4 linked regions of the Anolis sagrei genome follow. The protein of the gene in region 1 interacts with the protein of each later gene in a pairwise test. Links are inferred from orthologs where the notes say so. Each region holds a gene or a part of one and is shown on either strand. Other genes may lie near its edges.

Region 1 (6,961 bases):
CGATGCACTGACAGCCCCAATGCATTCTTGGGACTGATCGGCTTTATGGATAGCCAAAATGTTCCAGGATGCTACAAAGTTAGATTTATCTGGTTGATGTAGATACACTTCTAAATCTGGTCAGCCTCTCCAATCCTTTTCTGCACTATCTCTGTAACTTCACAGAGAGAAACAGACAGGAAACTTGATATGGCTGGAGGGTTTTTTGCTTTGTTTTTTTTTTTTTTTTTGGATAAACGTCATCCCCAACATGAAATTGGAAATTCACTTGCTAGCCCGAATTATAGCAAACCTATAGAGTTAACAGATCCAACTCACTCAATGGGTCTATCTGAGACTAATGACGTGAGTTAGGCAACCATTTTTATGGTTTGTGGATGGGGCTCATGATAGTTATATAATTTTCAAATAGGTTTAAATTTATATTGCGATTGTGCTCTTATTTTTGGACACCATGTAGCAAGGGAGCAACTAAAACCAAAAGATTTCCTGAGCTGTATCAAAGTCACAGCATCAGTGTTGCTAGAAATTCAAAGGTTTTTTTTTCCTGGGAAGCTAATTGAAAATCAGGAGCAAAGAGCCCGGGGTGGGTTTTTTTTAGCAGTAACCTTGATGGCGCAATGGCTTCCAGGTATTAATACAAATATAGTGCAAAGACGTATCTGAGTGACTTTGCAACATACAAATCTCTTTTCCAACAAGCCAAATATACTTCACAGACAAAAAAAAGAATGGCCCCATGCAAGCACTATGATTTGTCCATGACGACATAACACTTTCTTGAATTGTTACCGGAAGATGAACGACAGCCAGTGGAGCTCCTTAAACAGGACGATTGACTGCTCTCTGTAATTTGCCCCCGTTAGAATTCTGGCTGCCGAGCATTGAACCAATTGAATTTTCCGGGCTGTCTTCAAGGGAAGCCCCACGTAGAGTGCATTGCAATAGTCCAATCTAGAGGTAACTAAGGCGTGGACCATCATGGTAAAGTCAGACTTCGCAAGGTATGGTTGCAGCTGGCGCACGAGTTTTAATTGTGCAAAGGCCCTCCCAGCCACCACTGACACCTGCGCATCAAACATCAGTGCTGAGTCCAGGAGGACCCCCAAGCTGTGGATCTGCGCCTTCAGGGGGAGTGCAACCCCGTCCAGCACAGGTTGCCACCCAATACCCTGGTCAAGTATATTGGGTGTCTTGTCGGGATTGATCTTCAGCTTGTTTGCCCTCATCCAGGTTGATACAGCAGCCAGGCACTGGTCCAGCATCCGAGGGGCTTCCTTGGATTCGGTGGGAAAGAGTAGTGGAGCTGGGCGTCATCCGCATAGAGATGGCACCCAACTCCAAAACTCCGGATGACCTCTCCCAGTGGTTTCATATAGATGGTAAAAAGCATGGGAGACAGAATGGAGCCTTGCAAGACCCCACAGGTCAATGGCCAGGGGTCCGAGAAGGTGTCACCCAGTTTTACCATCTGGGAACGACCCTCCAGAAAGGACCGAAGCCACAGTAAAACCGTGCCCCCAAGTCCTATTCCGGAAAGCCGACCCAGAAGGATACTATGGTCGATGGTATCGAAAGCTGCTGAGATATCCAAGAGAATCAGCAGGGTCACACTCTCCCTGTCCAGTTCCCTGTGGAGGTCATCCACCAGAGTGACCAAAGCCATCTCGGTACTGTGCCTGGGTCTGAAACCAGACTGTGATCGATCTAGAAAATCGGTGTCATCTAGGAACCCCTGGAGCTGCGAGGCAACCACCCGCTCCAGCACTTTGCCCAAAAAAGGGAGGTTAGAAATTGGTCTGTAGTTATTCAGCATGGATGGGTCAAGGGAAGTCTTTTTCAGTAATTTTACCACTGTCTGCTTAAGGCAGGATGGGAATTTCCCATCCCAATGATGCATTGATGATGGAGATAAACCAGTCCAACAACCCACCCTTTGCCAATTTAACTAGCCAGGAAGGGCAAGGGTCCAGAGCACAAGTGGTTGCCCTCACAGCCCCCAGGATCCCGTCAATGTCATCAGGCAAAATAAGACAAAAAGAATCCCATAAGATCGGACAGACGGGAGCCTCGGTTACCTCATTTGGCATTGCATTTAAATTGGAGTCCAGCTCGAGACGTATCCGAGCGACTTTGCCTGCAAAATAGTGCGTGAAATCGCTGCACCGAGTTGCCGTGTCATCAGGGATGTCCTTCACCTCAGGTGGGTGGAGGGTGTCCCCAACAACCCAGAACAACTCTGATGGCCTATTGGCTGCAGACACTATGTGGGCAGTCGAGAAGGTTTTCTCGGCTGCCCGCCGAGCCGTGGAGTAAGCCCTAATAGTGTCTTTAGCCTGTGCTCGGTCAGAGATGTCATCCATTCTTTTTTATCACTATCCTGCTATATCATGTTGAACCCACACAATTTGTCAGATTTAAGCAGGACTGATTTCAGATAAATGGTTCTGCATTTCTTCCAAAACATTGTTGGTTTTTGAAGTCAACCTTGTAGAACAGGCATGCAGTCGTTCAACTTCTTTTAATTCTTGGTGGCACTCCTATTTCTCTCTCTCTCCCTCTGGTTTCGCTTGTTCCAATGCAAACTCTGCTAGTGTACTAAATAAATACCGTGTCCCTTTGTTCATCAGCTCCGCCTTTTGATATGGACTTTGTTTTCATAATAAGCCAGTCAGCCTGTTCAGGAGAAACGACACACCTGCTGCAAATCCCTACTTCAACACACAATAATATTGGGTTGCTGTAGGTTTTTTCGGGCTATATGGCCATGTTCTAGAGGCATTCTCTCCTGACATTTCGCCTGCATCTATGGCAAGCATCCTCTGAGGATGCTTGCCATAGATGCAGGCAAAACGTCAGGAGAGAATACCTCTAGAACATGGCCATATAGCCCGAAAAAACCTACAACAACCCAGTGAGTCCAGCCATGAAAGCCTTCGACAATACACAACAGTATTGCTTTATTTCTCTATTAATGCAGTTCCAAACCGATATTGAAGAAAGTGGTTTGGTTGTGTAGATGATTACATATAAAGTCCTAGAATGGGTTTGTAGCCCAGATGGTGATTATATAACAGACCAGTGATGCTCATGAAAGAATTTCTTTCAAGTCCTTTTGTGGAGTTTATTGCCTGATTGCTGCAGTTTGAAGCTAGCTTTTAAAAAGGTAAAAGTTTCCCCTGACATTAAGTCTAGTTGTATCCGACTCTAGCGGGTGATGCTCATCTCCATTTCTGGACCAAAGAGCCAGCGTTGTCCATAGACACCTCCAAGGTCATGTGGCCAGCATGGATACATGGAGCACTGTTACCTTTCCACAGAAGAAGTACCTATTGAGCTACTCACATTTACATGTTTTTGAACTGCTACATGGAGTGCTGTTACCTTTCTGCAGAAGCAGTACCTATTAAGCTACTCACATTTGCATGTTTTTGAACTGCTAGGTTGGCAGAAGCTGGGGCTAACAGCGGGAGCTCACTAAATGGCCTTAAATGGCCCTGCTTTCCAAAAGTGTAGTTCTGAAGCTTGAGAAACATCTACAAAACCCAACCACCCATAAAAGTTTAGGGGTGCATCTACATCGTGGAATTAACACAACTTGATACCAACTTAACTTCCATAGCTCAATGCTATGGAGTCCTGGGTGTTGTAGTTTGAGGAGGCCCCAAAACTTTTGATCAGAGAAGGCTAAAACCCTGTAAAACTATAAATCCCATAGCATTGAACCATGGCAATTTAATTTTTGCAGTGTTGATACAGCTTAACTTCTGTCTTAACCAAAGTCTCAGTCTGTATTTATCAACACAAAATCTATGACGTCTCCTTTACACACACCCCATTTCTCAGCTCTTTGAAGCATAACTGTTGATGGACATCTTCCTTAGCCTATAGGAAGAGGGCGTTGAGAGCCGCAAGCCAATGGGAATGAAAGAGGTGGAGATAGAATCAGGTTCCAGGAAGTGGAGGCTTCAGAGTTGCAGAGAGTGAAGAAGCAGGAACAGAAAGGGCTGAAGGGAGGCAGGTGGGTGCTCTTGTGATCAGGTGTAATTGTATGTATTACAGTATACACTTTTAATCAGACGTATATAAACTCTGGCTTTTGTATTGTTTTTCATTTGTATAGTTGAAAACATGTTGTTAGCCTCCTTGAGCCCTCCTGTATGGAGAAAGGAGGGAATATCAATGAGTATCATAATCATCACCATCAAATATCCTGTTTCTGTGTTGAAGACGCAGTGTCTCCCTGCACTGCCTGGCTTGTAACACGATTTTTGTCTCTGGGTTATAAATGTCATTTCCTAATTGACTCTATCATAAAAACATGAGGAAAGTTTATTTAAATGCAAAAACTTTGTTTATGGTGGACATCCTGCCGCACATTTTTGCTATAGCTTTTCAATGACTATTTCATCGAGTCCTAACCAATTGAACATAGTTTGTGGCAGCCACAAAAACAAAGTTTCTGGAGTATAACAACTACTTTCAAAGTAAGTACCGCACAATTAAACAGGAATTAATATTTGGTGTGGTGGAGGCTCCTTCTTTGGAGGCTTTTAAACAGTAGCTGGATGGCCATCTGTTGGGGATGCTTTGAATGTGATTTTCCTGCTTCTCGGCAGGGGGTTGGACTGGATAGCCCATGAGGTCTCTTCCAATTCTATGATTCTATGAAATCAGGAACAGGGGTAAAAATCAAATGTTGTTACATAGTGTTATTAAAGTGTGGCCCTTTTTGTTGTCGATTGCTTTTAAGTAAACTTTGGCTTATAGTGAACCTATGGGTGAGAGTCTTCCAGTAGCACTGAACAGTCGCTCTCACTGACTCAAGGCTTTGGCTTCCATAAGTGAACCTATCCATCTGTAGTGTGATCTTATTTTCCATCTGACTTCTAACTTACCAGTCAGTATTGTCTTATTTTCTGGTGAGCCATGTCCCCCCCCCCTTTTTTTTGGTCGTGTCAGGAGCTACTTGAGAAACTGCAAGTCGCTTCTGGTGTGAGAGAATTGGCCGTCTGCAAGGACGTTGCCCAGGGGACACCCTGATGTTTTGATGTTTTATCATTCTTGTGGGAGGCTTCTCTTGTGTCCCCGCAAGAGGAGCTGGAGCTGATAGAGGGAGCTCATATGCTCTCTCCCCAGATTCGGACCTGCGACCTGTTGGTCTTCAATCCTACCAGCACAGGGGTTGAACCCTCTGTGCCATTGGGGGCTCCATGTCATGACAGGGCTAAAATATGACAGCTTCAGTTTAGTTGTCTTGGGGCTCTTCCACACAGCCATATAACCCAGAATATCAAGGTAGACAATCCCATAATATCTGCTTTGAACTGGAATATATGGCACTGTGGACTCAGGGCCCTTTCATACAGCCGTATAACTCAGAATATCAAAGTAGACAATCCCCAATATCTGTTTTGAACTGGATTCTCTGAGTCCACCCTTCCATGTATCCCAGTCCAAAGCAGAAAATGTGGGATTTTATTCAGCGGTGTGGAAGGGGCCTTAGTTTCTAGGGAGCATTCAGTATTGAACTCTTCTGGGGAGGCCCTGCTCTCAATCCTGCCTCCTTTGCAGGTGCGACTGGTGGGGACAGGGCCTTCTCCGTGGTGGCTCCTTGGCTGTGGAACTCCCCAGCAACATTAGATCAGCCCCCTCCCTCCTGGCCTTCAGAAGGAAAGTGAAAATGTGGCTTTGAGATCAAGCCTTCGGAGAATAATTGTAATGTAATAATAGATACAGATTATGTGCAATGACTACTGGAATGGCCCCAGATTAATGATTGTCGATGGTATGGTTTTCAACAGTGAATAAAATGTTTTCTAAATGTTTTGATGTGCATTAGTTTATATTCATAATTTAAATGTTTATATTATTTGTATGTTTTAAAGCATTGAATAGTTGCCTATATGTAAAGCCGCCTTGAGTTCTCTTCGAGGTTGAGATATGCTCTTGGGCACCCATTTATGGTGCCCAAGAGCATATCTCAACCTCGAAGAGATTGAGATATGGGCACCCATTGATATGCTCTTGGGCACCCATTTATGGGACTTCTTAGCAGTCCACCATATCTGCAGAACTCTTCTCCAGCCCCACATTCAAATGGGTTTAATTTGCTGCTGTTACTTTTCTTCAATGTCCAGACTTTTCTCAGAGTGTTTGAATATGTTAGATAAGCAGATAAACTAAGAGAGACTGAGAGTACAGGTGCTGGTCAAGTGTTCTATGCTGAAGGATGCGTTTGTCTGGAATAAAGATGGAAAAAGTGAATGTTCCAGCAAGATTTGTTGCTTAATTCCACACATTTTGGGAGATCGGAGGGCCAATCTTAATTGTTCCTATTGTACAGATGGGAAAATTGAACTCTGAATATAAAAGGCATTTTCTGACAGCTCAGTTATGGATCTAGGATTTGAATCCAGCTTGTTGTCTTATATATTGGATGGTTGGATTATAGCTTGATTGCTATTTGCACTACAGTAGTATTACTGTACTACTAGTGCTATTTGCACTACAGTAGTATTACTACAGTAGTATTACAGTAGTATTACTGCTGCCGTTCATTTTCCGATCCCAATTCAAGGTGCAGGTGCTCACTTACAAAGCCCTAAACGGTTTGGGACCTGCCTACCTGCATGACCGCATCTCCGTTTACGAACCCGCACGTTCCCTTCAATCATCTGGAGAGGCTCTGCTCTCGATCCCACCTGCGTCGCAGGCGCGTTTGGTGGGAATGAGGGACAGGGCCTTCTCTGTGGTAGCCCCCCGACTCGGGAACTCTCTCCCCAAAGACATCAGACAAGCCCCAACGTTGGCTGTCTTTAGGAAGAGCCTGAAGACCTGGCTGTTTCAGTGTGCCTTTCCAGAATAGGAAACTCCTGGTTTCAAGTCCCAATTGCACTTTGCTAGAGACTCAGGATTATCTGCACATTGCACCTACCTCCATATACCTCTACATATTACC
Region 2 (7,212 bases), about 78 Mb from region 1:
TTCCCTGCCAGAAAGAACATTTCATTCCAATTTTCAACAGTTTCTGGATACAGAACAAAAGAGAAACATGCTGATCCTAGGAATGAATTGTGTGACACTTGGAAGGTGGGAGTTAGGGTGTTCAAACTACAGGAAAAAATAATCCATCTAAACTTTTAGGAAAAAATTCCTGATGACAACAGCTGTTCAACACTGAATTATGCTACCTCATAGGGTGGCAGAGTCTCATTCAGTGTAAGTGTAATAACAGAGGCTGAATGATTATCTTTTGGGAGAGCTTGATTGTGAATTCATGCTTGGCATGGGGTTGGACTAGATGACCACAGGGGTCTCTTCCTACCCTATGATTCTATCTGTAACCTATAACTCTTTTAAGATTCATTTGATTTAAAGTTGGTATGTTAATCTTAGAAACAAAAACACTTTTTGAAAAAAACTCCAGGCAGAAGAAACACCAATGATCTTTCAGGCCATTCCAACAACCAAGGATGAATCCTTTTGTTTCCTTCTTTTAAGAAGTGCATACAGAAGACTAGAGTATCTTAACTTTGGGTTTACCCTTTGCTTTATTTTAATCACTTCACACTTAGAGAGAAGCCTACATTTTTAGTAAAACAAAGGACAACATCATTAGAAATTCACACTAATTTCATTATCACAGCAACATAATATATTTCAATTAGTTTCACATGGTATGGTTGCTGATGACACGATAAATAAATAACCAGGTGCACTGTTTAATGTAATGCATTTCATGAATGGTACTATGGTGGCACAGTGGGCTAAAGCGCTGAGCTGCTGAGCGTGTTGATTGAAAGGTAGCAGATTTTAATCCGGGCAGCGGTGTGAGCTTCTGCTGTCAGCTCCAGCTCCTGTCCACCTAGCAGTTTGAAAACATGCAAATGTGAGTAGATCAATAGGTACCGCTCCGGTGGGAAGGTAATGGCATTCCATGCAGTCATGCCTGCCACATGACCTTGGAGGTGTCTATGGACAACGCCGGCTCATCAGCTTAGAAATGGAGATAGGCACCACACCCCAGAGTCGGACACAACTGGATTTAATGTCAGGGAAAAACCTTTACCTTTACTTACTATGCACTTTATATGTTTTTAACTTTATTATTAGTGAATGCATTTATTTGCTTAACTGTTTTAATTGTTTAGTTGATTGAATTTGTTTTATGGCCGTGTTTCAAGCAGCACTGAATTTTGCCGGGGCTGTAAGCCGCCTTAGTCGCCCAATGGAGTGAGAAAGGTGGGGTATAAATGAAGCGAATAAATAAATGCATTTCAGACAGAGTATGGGACATGTAGTCCTGCAAATGATGCTGGACTCTCACCAACCCTCACTAGTGTAAGCCATGGTAATGGATGATGGGAGAAGCGGTCCAACTGTATATGATGCATTTCTTTCCACTTATAATAAAAGTAACACTGCATTGCAGATCCATGTACAGCAGACTCTCAAGCAACCAGCAAAACTAAAATCAAAGAATTAATCATTCATTCACAAAGCTGTATTTAGAATACAGTAAAACTGTGTGTGTCTTAATTTGCTTTCAGTTACTGTATTTTAACATTAATATCAAGTCAATACAGAGTTTATGATATGGTATAGCATGAGGCATATTTTTCACTGTAACTCTCAAGCAAACAAAAACTCCATCTGATGGGTGCAGGTTAACTGATAGCCTGCTGTATTTGTAATGAATGGAAAATAATCCACATTTTATCGAACTCAGGATTTGTGTGTGTGTGTGTGTGTCAGGAGCGACTTGAGAAACTGCAAGTCACTTCTGGTGCAAGAGAATTAGCCATCTGCAAGGACGTTCTCCAGGGGAAGCCCAGATGTTTAATGTTTTACCATCCTCGTGGGAGGCTTCTCTCATGTCTCTGCAAGGGAGCTAACAGAGGGAGCTAAACCCGCTCTCCCCGGATTCAAACCACTGACCGCTTGGTCAGCAGTCCTGCTGGCACAAGGGTTTATCCCATTATAGAACCATAGAATCGTAGTTGGAAGAGACCTCATGGGCCATCCAGTCCAACCCCCTGCCAAGAAGCAGGACAATTGCATTCAAAGCACCCCCGACAGATGGCCATCCAGCCTCTGTTTAAAAGCCTCCAAAGAAGGAGCCTCCACCACACTCCGGGGCAGAGAGTTCCACTGCTGAACAGTCAGGAAGTTCTTCCTCATGTTCAGATGGAATCTCCCTTCTTGTAGTTTGAAGCCATTGTTCCGCATCCTAGTCTCCAGGGAAGCAGAAAACAAGCTTGCTCCCTCCTCCCTATGACTTCCTTTCACATATTTATACATGGCTATCATGTCTCCTCTCCCAACCTTCACTTCTTCAGGCTAAACATGCCCAGCTCTTTAAGCCGCTCCTCATAGGGCTTGTTCTCCAGACCTTTGATCATTTTAGTCACCCTCCTCTGGACACATTCCCATCTCTTCTCTGTTTCCTTTCATCTCTAATCTACAAGCTTGCTCTTTCCTCCCTGTGGCTTCCTCTCACTTGGCTATCATGTCTCCTCTTAGCCTTCTCTTTTGAATGCTAAACATGCCCAGCTCCTTAAGCCGCTCCTCATAGGGCTTGTTCTCCAGACCTTTGATCACTTTAGTCGCCCTCCTCTGGACACATTCCCATCTCTTCTCTGTTTCCTTCCATCTCTAATCTGAGTAACAGAATTAACTATCAACACGTGGCTTGTTGCATATGAAGAGCTCACCTGGCAGCGCCATGCAGCAACTCTAGCAGCCTGAGCTCAACCCAGGGTCCTTTCTCTTCCAGGAACAACTTCCCGAGAGCGACGCTTCCCCGCCGGAAATCTGGGACCAGAGCACTGAGGGCTTTACCACCATCTGCAATGGAGGGGGGGGGGAGAAAGAAGGGAGAAATATTTACTTACATAGAAGAGGGGAGACTCTTAGGCAGCCAGTATTCAACTATGTTTTAAAGCATTATGGCTTACTTCACAGTCCCTTCTCTTTTTTCACCGCGGAGTCATTCAACTCTAACTCCTTTCTTCCTTTGGACACTCCCCCCCTAGTCTGGTAATGGAATGTTCCCCTTCCCATGAACCAATCCCAACGAAAGAAGGCGGGCTTGTTGAATTTATTTATTTATCCTGCCAGGAGTGAACCAAAACAGTTGTATTGCGTTAAAATCAATCAAACAAACAAACAAAACACAAAGTTTGCAGACCTGGTATCCAGTCAATTATATTACATTTCTAACAGAACAAAGCAAACAAACAGAGAAAATACAAAATGTGTGAGTTTGGTAGTTGCTTAAATGTCCTTTGACCAGTATCTGGCCACTTGGAGTGCCTCTGGTGTTGCTGCAAGAAGGTCCTCCATTGTGCATGTGGCAGGGCTCAGGTTGCATTGCAGCAGGTGGTCAGTGGTTTGCTCTTCTCTGCACTCGCATGTCGAGGATTCCACTTTGTAGCCCCATTTCTGAAGGTTGGCTCTGCATCTCGTGGTGCCAGAGCGCAGTCTGTTCAGCGCTTTCCAAGTCGCCCAGTCTTCTGTGTGCCCAGGAGGGAGTCTCTCATTTGGTATCAGCCATTGGTTGAAGTGCTGGGTTTGAGCCTGCCACTTTTGGACTCTCACTTGCTGAGGTGTTCCAGCGAGTGTCTCTGTAGATCTAAGAAAACTATGTCTAGATTTAAGTCGTTGGCGTGCTGGCTGATACCCAAACAGGGGATGGGCCAGAGATGTCACTGCCTTGGTCTTTTCACTATTCACTATTCGGACCAATAGGAGCGCAGCAAAGTTTGTTGCCTGAAGGAGTAGAAAAGTGTTATACATTTGAGTCAAAGAAGACTTTAGTTTGTGCCTCGTCTCCAGAGACATTGAACAAAGCTCAACCAATTACACCGCACGCGCGACCCATTCTTTCCGCCCACTCCTTCCCTATGTCATCATTACACCAGCCGGGCTCAATCTACAGCTCACTGCTCCGAGGCGGATAGAAAGTTTCGGGTGGCGGTGTTCAGTCGGAAGACTTTAGGTAACGCACTTTGGACTGTTCCAATATCCAATGGGGGAGGCCTCCCGAGTTATGAGATAAGTACTGATACGGATTCGATCCATATCCTCCCATCCACTGCCTTAACAAGTTACATATTGTGAGACGCCGAGCCAGGTTCCAATAACAAGGTTTGGAGACTTGGCTTTCCTTCAGCGTTGCTCTCTCTCTTCTCTCCCCCCCGTTGCCGAAGTGGTCGCGCCCGCTTTCCAAGATGGCGGGAGGTTTGCCCTGGAGCTTTGCTTAAACCGAAGCGAAAGCGCTTTCCTTCCGTGTTTTCTTCCCTGTCAAAGGACTGGGCCGAAGGCAGCGCCATGAGCAACATCTACATCCAAGAGCCGCCCACCAACGGCAAGGTGAGGGCCCATTTCGGGAGAGGAAGAGCTGGGGTGCGTCTACGCTGCGGAATTAACGCGGTTTGAACCCGCTTTGAACTGCCATGGCTCAATGCTATGGAATCCTGGTAGTTTTACAAGGTCTTTGCCCTTCCCTGCCAAAGAGTGCTGATGCCAAACGACAACTCCCACCATTCCATAGCACTGGGCCATGGCAGTTGAAGTGGTGTCAAACTGCATTAATTCGACAGTGTAGATGCAGCCTAATAGCAAAGCTGTTGGTCTTTGATGTTAATTTTTAATCTACATTTTGTTTCTTGCCATGCCAGCTTATGTTTGTGTGGAGTTTTTGGAAAAGGGCATTCATAACATTTTGGAAAACGTCATTTGGAGATCGTAACTTTTTAAGAAAAGCATGACCTTTCAGAGAAGAGTCAAAAACGCTTTAGTGTAGACTCTTCTCTTGTGGTATACAACCAGATATAATTATGCAAGGTAATCAGTTTCAGTTGTTAGACTGAATAACCTGTTATCGCTGATCTGTTAGAAAACAGATTTTGCCAGTGCATAAATAAACAGCAGGGCAAAAGTATGACAGCTGGGATCCTACGCTGGTTGTGCAATGCGGGCATGACTTAATGAGGGAAACACGTGCGCATGACAGCGCAGCGAGTGAGAGACGCAACTGCGACAGAGTCATAGAATCATAGAGTTGGAAGAGACCTCATGGGCCATCCAGTCCAACCCTCTGCCAAGAAGCAGGAATATTGCATTCAAAGCACCCCTGACAGATGGCCATCCAGCCTCTGTTTAAAAACCTCCAAAGAAGTTGTGGGAACATTGTTTGCCAGAAAGGGGGAGAGGAAACATTTCTGTCCCGTTTATCTTCTTCGTAAACCATTGTTTATCATTTCACAGTAAATAAGTCTAACATTACTTCACTCGCCTTAAGCACTATGCTTGGCTGTTTGTTGTGCCCCCCCCCCTTCATTAATTCTGACCCACGTTGTGCACGTCTTCCCATCGTTCATTCTGACCCGCATTGCACAAGTACCGTACCATAGGGTCCCAGCTATCATACTTTTTCCAACAGCAGTGCTTCAGAAGTGTTTTTCAGTGCCCAAAAATATACTCCCCCCATAAAACAACTTGTTTTATGTATTATCGAAGGCTTTCATGGACGGAAATACTGGGTTGCTGTGAGTTATCCGGGCTGTATGGCCATGTTCCAGAAGCATTCTCTCCTGTTGTTTCACCCGCATCTACGACAAGCATCCTCAGAGGTTGTGAGGTATATTGGAAACAAACAAGGGAGGTTTATATATTTGTGAAAGGTCCAGGGTGGGAGAAAGAACAATCAGCTAACACCTCCCAACAAAGGATTCCCCTAGGCAGGAATCAGCCAGCCCTTGAAGCTGCGAAGATTTGCGATGCTAATCAAGGTGATTAACTGCAACATTCACACTTGCCTGCAACAGACAAGAGTTCTTTCTCCCACCCTGGACATTCCACAGATATATAAACCTCCCTTGCTTAGTTTCCAATATACCTCAAAACCTCTGAGGATGCTTGCCATAGAGATGGGCGAAACATCAGTAGAGAATGCTTCTTGATCATGGCCATACAGCCTGGAAAACTCACAGCAACCCAACTTGTTTTATATCATACACTCAAGAGACAAAGATTAAGTAGACTTGGATAAAAATAACATATTTGGTTTACTCACAACCTTCATGTGTTCAGCATACACAGGTGCAAAACTTATCAGTCCAGTTTCAGATATGTTTGAGATAATTCTCTGTACTATCTGGCCAGAACACTTCTTATAGCAAAACAACAGGTGTGTGATCTGAGGTCTGAAGTTTGCTATCAGCAGTCTGTAGTAATCTGCTATGATCATGTGGCCTGTAGTCTGCAATAGTCTGTCTGTCTGCAGTCTGCTATAGCTCATGGGGTCTACAGCCCCTTTTATAACTTCTTAAGAACCATAGAGCAAAGGAAGCTGCATACCAGAACATACATATAAAGAGTAAGCAACGGGATAATAGATAAACATTACTAGAGAAGGCTTGAAGAAGGATGTCATTTCAACAGTGTGGGGAATAAGCAAATTGGATGTACATTTTATTTAGTCAGAGTAGTGAATGCTGGATTTAATTACTCCGAGCACTTAATTAAATAAAAGGCATCATTGGATGTGCCTATGTGGCCTGTCAAGTGCAGATGTGACAAGAAATGGGATGTATCTGATGCATCAAGTTACGGTTTGTAATGTACATTCAGAAATGTGTAAATGGTTTATTCTTCGTTATTAAACGGGGTCTGTGTATGTTTTATGGCAGGCAAGGGCCAATATGGGCCCTCCAGGTGTTTTGGACTTCAACTCCCATAATTCCTAACAGTCGGCACCAGATCCCATTTGATCTTGGAAGGCCGAAGTTTGCCCATGCCTGTTTTATGGACTTGGAACCCAGACACATTTTTCACTGCAGCTAAAAAAAATGTTTCTGATCTCCTATTCAGTGTTCTTACCTGGTTCAGGTGCACTAAACCCCTTTGTTAGGGATAACACAAAGACATAACTGAGTGCATCAAGTTTTTATGAAATGCTCTCCAGATTAACTGACTGTTCCTGAAGCCTCCCATATGTGACCATTGCATGTTTTGTGGGAAGCAACAAGCAGGAGGGCAGATGTGCCTGGTTACATAGAATTGTAGAGTAGGAATAGAACCCAAGGACCATCCTGTCCAACCCCATTGTGGCATGTAAGAGAAGCACAATCAAAGTACCCCCAACGGATGGCCATCCCGCTTCTGCTTAAAAATCTCCAGAGAAGGAAACTC
Region 3 (7,602 bases), about 95 Mb from region 1:
AGATAATGAGACATCTAAGAGATGAAGCACAATTCTACACATTTGTGTCTCATCTCTTAGATGTCTCATTATCTACATATACATTTTTACACATAACCCGATGGTGTTTTTATCCAATATTTTCAATAATGTTGCATATGTCTATACCGAAACGCCAAAAGGCCAGTGTCAATATCTTAGCCACCTATGTGGGTGTTACTATCTTTTTGTAAGAGGATTTGAAAAAGATGCACTCATAGGTATATGATTTTGTGTACAATGAACCACTCAAAAGCAAAGAAGTCACTATCCCAGGGTGAAGACTTCATCCAGTGTGGCACCAGATCTGGCTACGGTTGTCCACGCTTTAGTTGCATATCGCTTGGACTACTGCAATGCTCTCTATGTGGGGCTGCCTTTAAAGATAGTTCGGAAGCTTCAACTGATTCAGAGATCGGCAGCCTGATTACTAACCAGAGCACCGCCCAGGGAACGGACAACTCCCATGTTATGGCAGCTCCACTGGCTACCGGTTCACTTCTGGGCTAAATACAACCTACAAAGCCCTGAACCAGTGGTTCTCAACCTGTGGGTACCTAGGTGTTTTGGCCTAGAACTCCCAGAAATCCCAGCCTATTTACCAGTTGTTAGTATTTCTAGGAGTTGAAGGCCAAAACATCTAGGAAACCACAGGTTGAGAACCACTGTCCTAAACCATTTGGGCTCAGACTACTTGACAAACCGCATCCCTGTTTACAAACCTGCTCAGACACTGTGATCATCGGAGGGGACCCTCCTCTCAGTCTCACCCCCATCTCAAGTGCAGCTGGTGGGAACGAGAGGGGGGGCTTTCTCAGCCCCTTCCCTCTGGAACTCCCTCCCAATGGAAATCAGAACAGCCTCTTCACTTCTCACTTTAAGAAACAATTAAAAACTTTACTCCTCTCCTTTAAGAAACAATTAAAAGCCTTAGACAACATATTGAACATCTCTACTGGGAGAAACTGTTCCAAGACACACAGAGATATGAGAGAATGCTTCTGGAATATGGCCATACAGGCCAGAATGCACATTAGCTTATAGAGAGGAAGATAATTAGTTTATTATTCATTCTACCCCGCCTGATGATGCTGACGGTGATTACATTACCTTAACTTATTGGAGAGCCATATTCTCATATTTTTATACAGATTTTAACTGCCTACTCTGTTGTTTATGATGCCGGTTGGTTTTATGTTTTAATCAAGGTTGTTTTGTTTGCTTATTTTTAACTGGTTTTGTTTGTTTTGTTTCTGTTTTATGTTGTAATTGCCCATGGCATTGAATGTTTGCCATCTTTGTTTTTGGAAGCCACCTTAAGTCACTTTGGAGAGAGGGGGCGGGTTAAAAATAAAGTAGTAGTAGTAGTAGTAGTTGTTGTTGTTGTTGTTGTTAAACTACAGCTCCTATAATTCCATGACATGGAACCATGGCATTTGAAATGGGGTCAAACTGAATTCATTCTACAGCAGGCATGGGCAAACTTGGGCCCTCCCTCCAGGGGTTTTGGACTTAAACTCCCACCATTCCTGAAAGCCTCAGGCCCTTTCCTTTTCCCCCTCAGGCACATAAGCAAAAGTATGATAGCTGGGATCCAATGCTGGTTGCGCAATGCGGGTCAGAATTACACTTGCACAGCAAGTGAGAGACGCTGGTGTGTGCTATAAACTTAACTATTGCTAACTTTACCATCCTTCACTATCACTCAAACTTAACTTAATTACATGTGGATGAAGCGTGCTATAAAATTAACGCTGTCTCCCGCACATCTTCGCTTCTCTAATTCTGACCCACGTTTTGTTGTTGTTGTTTTTTGTCGTGTCAGGAGCAACCTGAGAAACTGCAAGTCGCTTCTGGTGTGAGAGAATTGGCCGTCTGCAAGGAAGCTGCCCAGGGGATGCCCGGATGATTTGATGTTTTATCATCCTTGTGGGAGGCTTCTCTCATGTCCCCGCATGAGGAGCTGGAGCTGATAGAGGGAGCTCATCTGCCTCTCCCCAGATTCGAACTGCGACCTGTCGGCCTTCAGTCCTGCCGGCATAGGGGTTTAACCCACTGCGTCACCAGGGGCTCCCTGACCCGCGTTGCGCAACCAGTATTAGGTCCCAGCTATCATACTTTTGCCCAAACGCTGTTGGTTTTCGGCCCCTGCTTAAAGGTGCCTCAACCCTAGGTCCCGAACACCCCTTGACCCCCTTGAACTGCCTTGGCTGAGTGCAAGGGAATCACTCTATGATTCCAGGCCCTTCCACACAGCCATATAACCCTAAATATCAAGGCAGAAAGTTCCACAATGTTTGCTTTGAACTGGGTTATCTGAGTCCACACTGCCATATATCCCAGTTCAAAGCTAAAAATGTGGGATTTTATTCAGCTGTGTGGAAGGGGTCTCCGCCCTGAGCTTCTTCAAACTACAAATCCCAAGGCTGAGGAATTCCGAGATTCGTAGTTTGAAGAGGCTCAGGATGGAGGCCCCTTCCACACAGCTGAATAAAATCCCACATTTTTAGCTTTGAACTGGGATATATGGAAAAGGAAGGGGGCTGAGGCTGTTAGGAATGGTGAGAGTTGAAATCCAAGATCCTTGGAGGGAGGGCCTAAGTTTGTGAATGTCTGTTCCACAGTGTAGATCAGGCATGGGAGGTGTTTTGGACTTCAGCTCCCACAATTCCTAGCAGCCGGTTTGCCCTTGCCTGAGTAGAAGCCCCTTCTCTGTGAGGAGGAGGAGGAGGAGGAGGAGGAGGAGGAGGAGGAGGAGGAGGAGGAGGAGAGGGGGAAAGGGGGGCCTCGCAGATATACCATAGGAAACCTCAGCCTCTGCTCTTTACAGAAACAGAAGCCCCTCGAAGCCACGACGACTACCAAAGAAGGCAAAGCGGACCCAGGACAGGTGGCTTCTCGCTCCCGCCCTCGCCCCTCGCCCACTCACGCTTGCCGCCGAGCGATGAGGCGATGCATGGGGGTCGCCATCTTGGCCGCCGCTGGCCCCGCCCCCCGGAAGAGGAAGAGGAGGAGGAGGCCTACGGGGAGGGAGGAATGGGGCAGGGCTCTTCTCACACTACAACCTCCAGAATCCCACAGCCCTGCCTTGTCTCCAAACCACTATCCTTCCTCAAATGTGCTCTCCCATGATCAGCAGCCCTGCTCAGGTCTTGCAGACTCAAAGCCAGGGTTTTCTTGATTGAGGCAACCCACCAGGAATAATAGTAACAATAGTAATAATAATAATAATGATGATGATGATGATGATGATGACTGGCACAAGCCAGTAAAGATGGGCCCAGTGGTGATCCACACACTGGGTGCAGTGCCTAAAGACCTTGGCCTGCACTTAAACACAATCAACGCTGACAAAATTACCATCTGACAGCTGCAGAAGGCCACCTTACAGGAATAATAGTAGCAATAGTAATAGTAATAATAATGTATTGTCGAAGGCTTTCATGGCCGGAATCACTCAGTTCTTGTGGGTTTTTTCGGGCTATATGGCCATGTTCTAGAGGCATTTCTCCTGACGTTTCGCCTGCATCTATGGCAAGCATCCTCAGAGGTCTGCTGGAGCTGGGATAAAGGGGTTTATATATCTGTGGAGTGACCAGGGTGAGACAAAAGGCTTTTGTAAGTTGGGCTAGGTGTGAATCTTTTCAACTGACCACCTTGATTAGCATACAATGGGCTGACAGTGCCTGGAGCAAACTCTTCTTGAAAGGTGATTAGATGTCCCTGCCTGTTTTTCTCTCTGCTGTTTTAATTTTAGAATTTTTTAATACTGGTAGCCAGATTTTGTTCATTTTCATGGTTTCTTCCTTTCTGTTGAAATTGTCCACATGTTTGTGGATTTCAATGGCTTCTCTGTGTAGTCTGACATGGTGGTTGTGAGAGTGGTCCAGCATTTTTGTGTTCTCAAATAAAATGCTGTGTCCAGGTTGGTTCATCAGGTGCTCTGCTATGGCTGACTTCTCTGGTTGAAGTAGTCTGCAGTGCCTTTCATGTTCCTGGATTCTTGTTTGGGCGCTGCGTTTGGTGGTCCCTATGTAGACTTGTCCACAGCTGCATGGTATACGGTAGACTCCTGCAGAGGTGAGAGGATCCCTCTTGTCCTTTGCTGAACGTAGCATTTGTTGGATTTTCCTGGTGGGTTTGTAGATTGTTTGTATGTTGTGTTTCCTCATCAGCTTCCCTATGCGATCAGTGGTTCCCTTGATGTATGGCAGGAACACTTTTCCTCTGGGTGGATCTTCATCTTTACTCTTGTGGCTTGTTCTTGGTCTTGCAGCTCTTCTGATGTCTGAGGTGGAGTATCCATTGGCCTGTAGAGCCCAGTTGAGGTGGTTCAGTTCATCTTGGAGGAGGTGGGGTTCACAGATTCTTTTTGCACGGTCTGCCAAGGCTTTAATGGTGCTTCTTTTTTGACTTGGGTGATGGTTGGAGTTTTTATGTAGATATCTATCTGTGTGTGTGGGTTTTCTGTAAACGGTGTGACCCAATTGTTGATCTGGTTTGCGGATGACTAGGACATCTAGAAAAGGCAGTCTTCCTTCCTTTTCTTTTTCCATAGTGAACTGGATGTTAGGGTGGATGCTATTAAGATGTTCCAGGAACCTGTTGAGTTCTTTTTCTCCATGGCTCCAAATGGTGAAAGTGTCATCCACATATCTGAACCATATAGTGGGCTTTTTGGTTGCTGTTTCAAGAGCTTGTTTTTCAAATTGTTCCATGTAGAAGTTAGCTATGACTGGGCTGAGAGGGCTCCCCATAGCTACTCCATCTTTCTGTTCGTAGAATTCATTGTCCCTCTCAGCCCAGTCATAGCTAACTTCTACATGGAACAATTTGAAAAACAAGCTCTTGAAACAGCAACCAAAAAGCCCACTATATGGTTCAGATATGTGGATGACACTTTCACCATTTGGAGCCATGGAGATGAAGAACTCAACAGGTTCCTGGAACATCTTAACAGCATCCACCCTAACATCCAGTTCACCATGGAAAAAGAAAAGGAAGGAAGACTGCCTTTTCTAGATGTCCTAGTCATCCGCAAACCTGATCAACAATTGGGTCACACCGTTTACAGAAAACCCACACACACAGATAGATATCTACATAAAAACTCCAACCATCACCCAAGTCAAAAAAGAAGCACCATTAAAGCCTTGGCAGACCGTGCAAAAAGAATCTGTGAACCCCACCTCCTCCAAGATGAACTGAACCACCTCAACTGGGCTCTCCAGGCCAATGGATACTCCACCTCAGACATCAGAAGAGCTGCAAGACCAAGAACAAGCCACAAGAGTAAAGATGAAGATCCACCCAGAGGAAAAGTGTTCCTGCCATACATCAAGGGAACCACTGATCGCATAGGGAAGCTGATGAGGAAACACAACATACAAACAATCTACAAACCCACCAGGAAAATCCAACAAATGCTACGTTCAGCAAAGGACAAGAGGGATCCTCTCACCTCTGCAGGAGTCTACCGTATACCATGCAGCTGTGGACAAGTCTACATAGGGACCACCAAACGCAGCGCCCAAACACGCATCAAGGAACATGAAAGGCACTGCAGACTACTTCAACCAGAGAAGTCAGCCATAGCAGAGCACCTGATGAACCAACCTGGACACAGCATTTTATTTGAGAACACAAAAATGCTGGACCACTCTCACAACCACCATGTCAGACTACACAGAGAAGCCATTGAAATCCACAAACATGTGGACAATTTCAACAGAAAGGAAGAAACCATGAAAATGAACAAAATCTGGCTACCAGTATTAAAAAATTCTAAAATTAAAACAGCAGAGAGAAAAACAGGCAGGGACATCTAATCACCTTTCAAGAAGAGTTTGCTCCAGGCACTGTCAGCCCATTGTATGCTAATCAAGGTGGTCAGTTGAAAAGATTCACACCTAGCCCAACTTACAAAAGCCTTTTGTCTCACCCTGGTCATTCCACAGATATATAAACCCCTTTACCCCAGCTCCAGCAGACCTCTGAGGATGCTTGCCATAGATGCAGGCGAAACGTCAGGAGAAATGCCTCTAGAACATGGCCATATAGCCCGAAAAAACCCACAAGAACTGAGTAATAATAATAATAATAATAATAATGACTCAGGCACAAGGCAGTAAAGGTGGTCCCAATGGTGATCCGCACACTGGGTGCAGTGCCTAAAGACCTTGGCCTGCACTTAAACACAATTGGCGCTGACAAAATTACCTGCTACCAGCTGTAGAAGGCCATCGTACTGGGATCTGCATGCATTATTCGCCGATACATCACACAATCCTAGACACTTGGGAAGTGTCCGACGTGTGATCCAATACAACAGCCAGCAGAGTGTCTGCTTTGGACTCATCTTGTTGTGTTTCAAATAATAGTATTAATATTAAGATTCCAAATGTAGACTCTTCAAGGAAGCAGATGAAACAATAGATCACATCCTCAGCTGCTTCAATAAGATCGTGCCAACAGACTACAAGCAGAGGCATAATACCATTGCTCAGATGATTAATTGGAATTTGTGCCACAAATACCATCTGCCTGCAACAAAGAACTGGTGGGATCACAAGCCAGAAAAAGTTACAGAGAATGAACACGTCAAACTCCTCTGGGACTTCCGAATTCAGACAGACAGAGTTTTGGAGCACAATACTCCTGAACTCACGATCGTGTTAAAAAACAAAGTATGGATCACCGATGTTGCATTCCCAGGTGACAGCTGGTTTGAAAAGAATTAACTGGAAGAGCTGGCACAATATGAGGATTTAAAGATCGAACTGCAAAGACTCTGACACAAGCCAGTAAAGGTGGTCCCAGTGGTGATCCGCACATTGGGTGCAGTGCCTAAAGACCTTGGCCTGCACTTAAACACAATCGGCGCTGACAAAATTATCATCTGCCAGCTGCAGAAGGACACCTTACTGGGATCTGCACGCATTATACGCCAATACATCACACACTCCTAGACACTTGGGAAGTGTCCAACGTGTGATCCAATACACCAGCCAGCAGAGTGTCTGCTGTGGACTCATCTTGTTGTGTTTTTAATAATAATAATAATAATAATAATAGCAATCATAATAATTGTCCTCTGAAGGTGCCAGCCATAGATGCAAGTGAAATGCCAGGAGAAAATGCTGCATGGGCAAACTTCGGTCATCCTGGTGTTTTGGACTTCAACTCCCACAATTCCTAACAGCCTCAGGCATAAAATCACAGGAAGGGTTATTCAACCTGAACATTAAGAGTGTGGTGGAAGCTCTTCCTTAGAGGCTTTTAAACAGAGACTGGATGGCCATCTGTAGGGGGTGTTTTGATTGCGTTTTTCCTGCATAGCAGGATGGAGTTGGACTGGGTGGCACAAACCAAGGTTTCAACAACATCTATTATAGAACTCCAGTATGCTGATGACAATGTTGTCTGTGCGCATTCAGAAGAAGACCTACAAGCCACTCTAAACACCTTCGCAGAAGCATACGACCAGCAGTGCTGTAGAATTTGAAGAGGCATGAATGGAGGGCGAAAGAGAGAAATGTGACAAGAGAAAGGCGCATCAAGCCAACCCTGACCAGGACCGCCTTC
Region 4 (7,377 bases), on another chromosome or scaffold:
CACACTCCAGGGCAGAGAGTTCCACTGCTGAACAGCTCTCCTTATAGTTAGGGAGTTCTTCCTCTTGTTCAGGTGGGCTCTCCTTTCCTGTAGTCTGAAGCCATTTTTCCATTGTGTCCTAGTCTTCAGGGCAGCAGAAAATAAGCTTGCTCTTTCCTCCCTATGACTTCCCCTCGCCTATTTATGCCTGGCCCTCATCATGTCTCCTCTGAGTCTTCTCTTATGCAGGCTAAACATGCCCAGCTCTTTAAGCCGCTCCTCGTAGGGCTTGTTTTCCAGACCCTTGATTTTTGTGCCACCCTCCTCTGGACACATCCCAGCTTATAGTCAATGGTGCCCAGAATTGGACATAGTGTGATTCCAGGTGTGGCCTGACCAAGGCAAAATACCATGACTTCCCTTAAGGTGAACCAATCACTGGGGTTTTTATGTGTATGTAAATGGCAGGAATGTATATAGCAATGTATGTATTGGTGGAAAATCTGTTTATGGACATATGTATATATTGGTTTTTATCTATGTGTTTATGTATTAGTCTAATTTAAAAGCATGGGAAAGGGAATATTTCCTCTTCTGCACAGACATGAATGGAAAAAGGAACTCTCCCCAGTTTTAAATATTTAACAAGGAGAAAGATGACCAACAAGGTGTGGAAACTATGAATCCCAATGACAAGGGGCTTATTAGGGTGTTGGATAGGTTTACCTTGAAGAAAGGGAAGCGTGAAAGGGAAGCACGAGAGCCAGGTTTAAATATTGGAAGGGAAATCCCATTGAGGAGGAATTAGCAAGCTTGCAATGGGTTTAAAAGCAGGAAATAAGATTCACGGAAAGGCTTCTGAGCCAATCTTGCCATGAAAATACCACCTTAAGCACCAAGGATCCCCCCCCCCCCCACGCCCCACGATGATTTAATTTATGAGCTACCAATTTGGCCAGATCCCTGCAAGATGAAAGATAAGCTTTCAGCTTCATGACAAGGAAAAGTATCATCTTTGGGTTTGGCACTAAAGGATACCCCACCCTTTCCCCAAATTATGGCTGATCACCTGTCAAGTGCCAGATTCCTGCATGATGAAAGATAAGCTTTTGGCTTTGTGACAAGAAAAAGTATCACCTTTGCGTTTGGCACTAAAGGATACCGCACTCTTTCCCCAAATTATGGCCAACCACCTGTCAAGCACCAGATCTCTGCAAGAGGAAAACGATGATTTGATTTACGAACTACCAATTTGACCAGATCCCTGCAAGATGAAAGATAAGCTTTTGGCTTTGTGATAAGGAAAAGTATCACCTTTGGGTTTGGCACTAAAGGATACCCCACCCTTTCCCCCAAATTATGGCCGACCACCTGTCAAGCGTCAGATCCCTTCAAGAGGAAAACCATGATTTGATTTATGAACTACCAATTTGGCCACATCCCTGCATGATGAAAGATAAGCTTTCACCTTTGTGATAAGAAAAAGTATCATCTTCGGGTTTGGCACTAAAGGACACCCCACCCTTTCCCCAAATTATGGCCGATCACCTGTCAAGTGCCAGATCCCTGCAAGAGGAAAAGAAAGCACTTAGGTTTTGCTATAAGGAAACGCTCTCAGGATTTGTGACCAAGGAAAGACTTTTGAACGAAGTTTGCCAAGAAAATCCCATGCTTTTAGGGTTTGGCACCAAAGGGGTTGATTGAACAGCCATCAATAGCCAGATCCCTGCAAGATGAAAGATAAGCTTTCAGCTTTGTGACAAGGAAAAGTATCACCTTCAGGTTTGGCACTAAAGGACACCCCACCCTTTCCCCAAATTATGGCCAATCACCTGTCAAGCGCCAGATCCCTGCAAGAGGAAAAGAAAGCACTCAGGTTTTGCTATATGGAAACGCTCTCAGGATTTGTGACCGAGGAAAGACGTTTGAACCAAGTTTGCCAAGAAAATTCCATGCTTTAGGGTTTGGCACTAAAGGAGTCGATCGAACTATCAATTTGGCCAGATCCCTGCATGATGAAAGATAAGCTTTCAACTTTGTGACAAGGAATGGTATTACCAGGTTTGGCACTAAAGGATACCCCACCGTTTCCCAAATTATGGCTGATCACCTATTAAGTGCCAGATCCCTGCAAGAGGAAAAGAAACCACTCAGGTTTTGCTATATGGAAACGCTCTCAGGATTTGTGACCAAGGAAAGACGTTTGAACCAAGTTTGCCAAGAAAATTCCATGCTTTAGGGTTTGGCACCAAAGGGGTTGATCAATCGGCTATCAATGGCCAGATCCCTGCAAGAGGAAAGGTAAGCACCCTGGCTTTAGGACGAGATAAGACTTCGGAACCAGGAAAATCTTAAATTTTGACATAAAAGGACCTCTGTCCCACCATGGTTTTATTGATAGACCATTAATGGAAAAACACCGTAAGAGGAAAGGTAAGCTCTCAGGTTTTGTGGCTTCTTAACCAATTCTTCCAAAACAATCCCATGCTTTAGGGTTTGGCATCAAATGAGCCTATTATCCTGGTTGTGGATGGGCAGATCCTTGCAAGAGGAAAGCTAGGTTCTTAGGTTTTGTGACAAGGAAAGGCTTAGGAGCCAAGACTCCACTTGCTTCCTTTACTTTTAGGGACTTCTGTACCTTTAATGCAAGCCTGGGCAAGCTTGGGCCCTCCAGGTGTTTTGGACTTCAACTCCCACAATTCCTAACAGCCTACCGGCTGTTAGGAATTGTGGGAGTTGAAGTCCAAAACACCTGGAGGGCCCAAGCTTGCCCACGCCTGCATTAAAGGTACAAAAGTCCCTAAAAGTAGGGAAGCAAGAGGAGATTTTCCCAAGTTTTCAATCTGAAAGAATGCGACCTTTTTCGGGTTGAGAACCCAGAGGCCAAGAAGCCACCCCATTCCCTCCTTGGCTCCTTACCTGGGTGGGTCTACCTGGGTGTCTGTCACTAGTGGACGAAGAGTTCTCCTCGGTCGCCAAAGACGGGCTGAAGCAACAGGGAAAGGCTGGAGGCGCTCAAATAGCCAAGCCCCACCCGAGACCGCCCCACGCGGGACCGCCCCACCCAAGGAGGAGGTGCTCACTCAGATGCAGGGGAGGAAAAGGAGAACGAGGGGGTAAGGTGGCCTCCCTTCAGTGCCTGGTATCAAGGGGTCTCCCCTCTGCCTTTGAACCACTCAGTGGTTAGATCCCTGCAAGGGGAAAGGTAAGCCTTCAGGCTTTGAGACAAGGAGGGGCTGCTTTCTGAAACCTTTCTTCCCAGGAAATCTCAAGGAGAATGAGGGGCTAAAGTGGCCTCCCTCCAATGCCTGGTACTAAAGGGTCTCCCCTCTGCCTTTGAACCACTCAATGGTTAGATCCTTGCAAGGGGAAAGGTAAGCATTTAGGCTTTGCGACAAGGAAAAACTTCTTTCTGAATACTTTCTCCCCAGGAAGTCTCAAGGAGAATGAGGGGGTAAGGTGGCCTCCCTCCAATGCCTGGCACCTAAGGGACCTCCTTTGCCTTTGAACCACCTTATGGCTAAATCCCTGCAAGGAGAAAAGTAAGCCTTCAGGCTTCGCGACAAGGAAAGGCTTCTTTCTGAAACCTTTCTTAGCAGGAAATCTCAAAGAGAATGAGGGAGGGGAGGGTAAGGTGGCCTCCCTCCAGTGCCTGGTACCAAGGGGTCTCCCCTCTGATTTTGAACTACCTTATGGTTAGATCCCTGCAAGCGGAAATGTAAGCCTTCAGGTTTTGAGACAAGGAAAGGCTTCCTCCTGAACCCTTTCTCCCCAGGAAATCTCGAGGAAAATGAGGGGGTAAGGTGGCCTCCCTCCAATGCCTGGTACTAAAGGGTCTCACCTCTGCCTTTGAACCACTCAATGGTTAGATCCCTGCAAGGGGAAAGGTAAGCCTTCAGGCTTTGCGACAAGGAAAGACTTCTTTCTGAACCCTTTCTCCCCAGGAAATCTCAAGGACAATGAGGGGGTAAGGTGGCCTCCCTCCAATGCCTGGTACTAAAGGGTCTCCCCTCTGCCTTTGGACCACTCAATGGTTAGATCCCTGCAAGGGGAAAGGTAAGCCTTCAGGCTTTGCGGCAAGGAAAGGCTTCTTTCTGAACCCTTTCTCCCTGGGATGTCTCAAGGAGAATGAGGGGTAAGGTGGCCTCCCTCCAATGCCTGGCACCCAAGGGACCCTCTTTGCCTTTGAACCACCTTATGGCTAGATCCCTGCAAGGGGAAAGGTAAGCCTTCAGGCTTTGTGACAAGGAAAGGCTTTTTTCTGCACCCATTCTTCCCAGGAAATCTCAAGTTTGGCACCAAAACAAACTTCCCTCTGCTTGTGGCTGGTGACACTTATACAACACAATATTTGTTACTGGGCTATTAATATCATTTCCTAATTGGTTCTATCCTTAAAAACATGGACAAAGTTTATTAAATTGCCAAAACTTTGTTCTCTGCAGGAGGGACATCTTGCTGTAAGCACATTTGGCTATAGCTTTTCTATAATTAATGTCTTTCTTAATTAGTTAGGCGATCCCTCGTAGCCCGAGGATGATGGTCCTCCAAGTGGAGTGTCTTGGTGGTGGGTCCATAGGTGGCTGTGGAGCCCTATTCCTGATACGCATGTTCTTATGCAGCGAGGACATCAGTTTCCAGATGGAAGGCAGTCCCAGTCAGAGTTGGCTTGACGTGCCTTCCTCTTGGCACGTTTCTCCCTTTCGTCCTTCATTCGTGCCTTTTCGAATTCTTCGAATTGAGCGCTATAACTGGAGGTCAGCTGTGACCAGTAGTGCTGCAGAATTCGAAGAGGCATGAATGGAGAGCGAAAAGGAGAAACAGGCCAAGAGGAAGGTGCATCAAGCCAACCCTGACAGATTCATCTATCTATAAATTTGGATAAATTGTGTTGATCTATCCATTAGCCAGATCCCTCCAACAGGAAAGATAAGTCTTCAGGCTTCGTAACATGTCACATCTTGATAGGGTTTTGCACCAAAAGACCCACTCCCTCTGGTTGCGATTAATGATCTAACCCTGCAAACGCTCCAGTTTTATGACAAGGATTTCCTTCTGAACCATGTTGTTCATTCGTTCAGTCGTCTCCGACTCTTTGTGACCTCATGGACCAGCCCACGCCAGAGCTCCCTGTCGGCCGTCACCAACCCCAGCTCCTTCAAGGTCAGTCCAGTCACTTCAAGGGTGCCATCCATCCATCTTGCCCTTGATCAGCCCCTCTTCCTTTTGCCTTCCACTTTCCCCAGCATAATTGTCTTCTCTAGGCTTTGCTGACTCCTCATGATGTGGCCATAGTGGCCAATAAAAGCACTGTTGAGTTTGTTACCAAAGATTCCTCAGTACTCAAATGCTTGAAAGATGAAAGGTAAACACTCAGGCTTTTTGGCATGGAAAGGCTTCTGAGCCAATCTTGCCATGAAAATGCTGCCTTGAGCACCAAAGTACCCCCCCCCCCAAAAAAAACCCCATGGTTTGATTTATGAGCTATCAATTTAGCCAGATCCCTGCAAGATGAAAGATAAGCTTTCAGCTTTGTGACAAGAAAAAGTATCACCTTCAGGTTTGGCACTAAAGGATACCCCACTGTTTCCCAAATTATGGCTGATCACCTATTAAGCGCCAGATCCCTGCAAGAGGAAAAGAAAGCACTCAGGTTTTGCTATAAGGAAACACTCTTAGGATTTGTGACCGAAAGAAGGCTTTGGAACCAATTTTGCCAAGAAAATCCCATGCTTTTGGGGTTGATCGATCAGCCATCAATGGCCAGATCCTTGCAAGAGGAAAAGAAAGAACTCAGGTTTTGCTATAAGGAAAAGCTCAGGATTTGTGACCGAGGGAAGACTTTGGAACCAATTTTGCCAAGAAAATTCCATAGTTTAAGGTTTGGCACCAAAGAGGTTGATCGATCAGCCATCAATGGCCAGATCCCTGCAAGAGGAGAGGTAAGCATCCTGGCTTTAGAACAAGATAAGACTTTGGAAGCAAGAAAATCTTAAATTTTGACATAAAAGGACCTCTGTCCCACCAAGGTTTTATTGTTAGACCATTAATGGAAAAACACTGTAAGAGGAAAGGTAAGCTCTCAGGTTTTATGACAAGGAAAAGACTTCGGAACCAATTCTTCCAAAACAATCCCATGCTTTAGAGTTTGGCATCAAATGAGCCTATGATCCTGGTTGTGGCTGGGCAGATCCCTGCAAGAGGAAAGGTAAGTTCTTAGGTTTTGTGACAAGGAAAGACTTTGGAGCCAATCTTGCCACGAAAACTCACTTATGGTTTGGTGCAAAGGAACCCTCTTTGCCCTCTGGTTGTGGCTCATTATCAATCAATTGCCAAATCCCTGCAAGAGGAGAGATAAGCTCTCAGGATTTGTGGAAACGAAAGGCTTCTGATCTATTCTTGCTAAGAAAACTTCCTAATAGAATTGCCTCGTCCACATTGGACTAGTTTGCTTTTAAGAACCTTAGGAAGAACTTCTAACTCTATAGCAGGCCTGGGCAAGCTTGGGCCCTCCAGGTGTTTTGGACTTCAACTCCCACAGTTCCTAACAGCCCAGCGGCTGTTAGGAATTGTGGGAGTTGAAGTCCAAAAACACCTGGAGGGCCCAAGCTTGCCCAGGACTGCATTAAAGGTACAGAAGTCCCCAAAAGCAGGGAAGCAAGAGGAGTCTTCCCCAGTTTTCAATCTGCTAATTCTGAAAGAATGCGATCTTTTTCGGGTTGAGAACCCAGACTCCATTATCAATCAATGGCCAAATCCCTGGCTCATTATCGATCAATGGCCAAATCCCTGCAAGAGGAGGGATAAGCTCTCAGGATTTGTGGCAAGGAAAAGCTTCTGACATATTCTTGCTAAGAAAACTTCCTAATAGTGCTGCCTTAGGGTTTCATATCAAAGGAAACCCTCCCTTATCCTAGTTTGGGCTGGTAATCTGTCAAATGGCCAGATCCCTGCAAGAGGAAAGATAGACTCTCAGGTTTTGTGAATGAATTTTGCCATAATGTTCATTAATTTATTTATATAGATCAGTGTTTCTCAACCTGGGGGTCAGGACCCCTGGAGGGGTCACGAGGGGGTGTCAGAGGGGTCACCAAAGACCACCAGAAAACACAGTATTTTCTGTTGGTCATGGAGGTTCTGTGTAGGAAGTTTGGCCAAATTCTATTGTTGGTAGTGTTCAGAATGCTCTTGCCATGAAAATCCTGCAATCAGATCATTATAGGTTGGAAATGTTTTGAAGGCTCACAACAATTGCAAATGGCTCGGTCTGTCTATGGTGGTGGAAATGGCACTTCGTACATGCTCAGGTTCACTATGATGCAGTGCACTCTCTCCGCCTCAGAAGACAGCAAAGGCAACCAGATTTCAAACAATTCTAGCCAAGGAAACCATGTGATA

The links.
Region 2: the proteins of PRR13 (region 1) and SREK1IP1 interact in binary tests that used the Homo sapiens proteins (3 or more experiments, as listed by UniProt). The link is inferred for Anolis sagrei from reciprocal best matches to the Homo sapiens genes PRR13 and SREK1IP1.
Region 3: the proteins of PRR13 (region 1) and ZCCHC10 interact in binary tests that used the Homo sapiens proteins (3 or more experiments, as listed by UniProt). The two-hybrid records come from large-scale screens. The link is inferred for Anolis sagrei from reciprocal best matches to the Homo sapiens genes PRR13 and ZCCHC10.
Region 4: the proteins of PRR13 (region 1) and LGALS3 interact in binary tests that used the Homo sapiens proteins (3 or more experiments, as listed by UniProt). The two-hybrid records come from large-scale screens. The link is inferred for Anolis sagrei from reciprocal best matches to the Homo sapiens genes PRR13 and LGALS3.

The regions. Positions count from the first base shown.
Region 1 is NC_090022.1:190,607,788-190,614,748, reverse strand, and holds the start of PRR13 (proline-rich protein 13), read left to right. Parts: upstream 1-3,938; 5' UTR 3,939-4,049; intron 4,050-6,961. UniProt on the Homo sapiens protein: Negatively regulates TSP1 expression at the level of transcription. This down-regulation was shown to reduce taxane-induced apoptosis.
Region 2 is NC_090022.1:268,457,875-268,465,086, reverse strand, and holds the start of SREK1IP1 (protein SREK1IP1), read right to left. Parts: upstream 3,012-7,212; 5' UTR 2,973-3,011; intron 2,863-2,972; 5' UTR 2,743-2,862; coding exon 2,730-2,742; intron 1-2,729. Other genes in the region: spliceosome-associated protein CWC27 homolog, read left to right, coding at 4,348-4,389. UniProt on the Homo sapiens protein: Possible splicing regulator involved in the control of cellular survival.
Region 3 is NC_090022.1:95,250,949-95,258,550, forward strand, and holds the start of ZCCHC10 (zinc finger CCHC domain-containing protein 10), read right to left. Parts: upstream 3,022-7,602; 5' UTR 2,989-3,021; coding exon 2,948-2,988; intron 1-2,947.
Region 4 is NC_090021.1:336,975,606-336,982,982, forward strand, and holds the start of LGALS3 (galectin-3), read right to left. Parts: upstream 3,008-7,377; 5' UTR 2,899-3,007; intron 1-2,898. UniProt on the Homo sapiens protein: Galactose-specific lectin which binds IgE. May mediate with the alpha-3, beta-1 integrin the stimulation by CSPG4 of endothelial cells migration.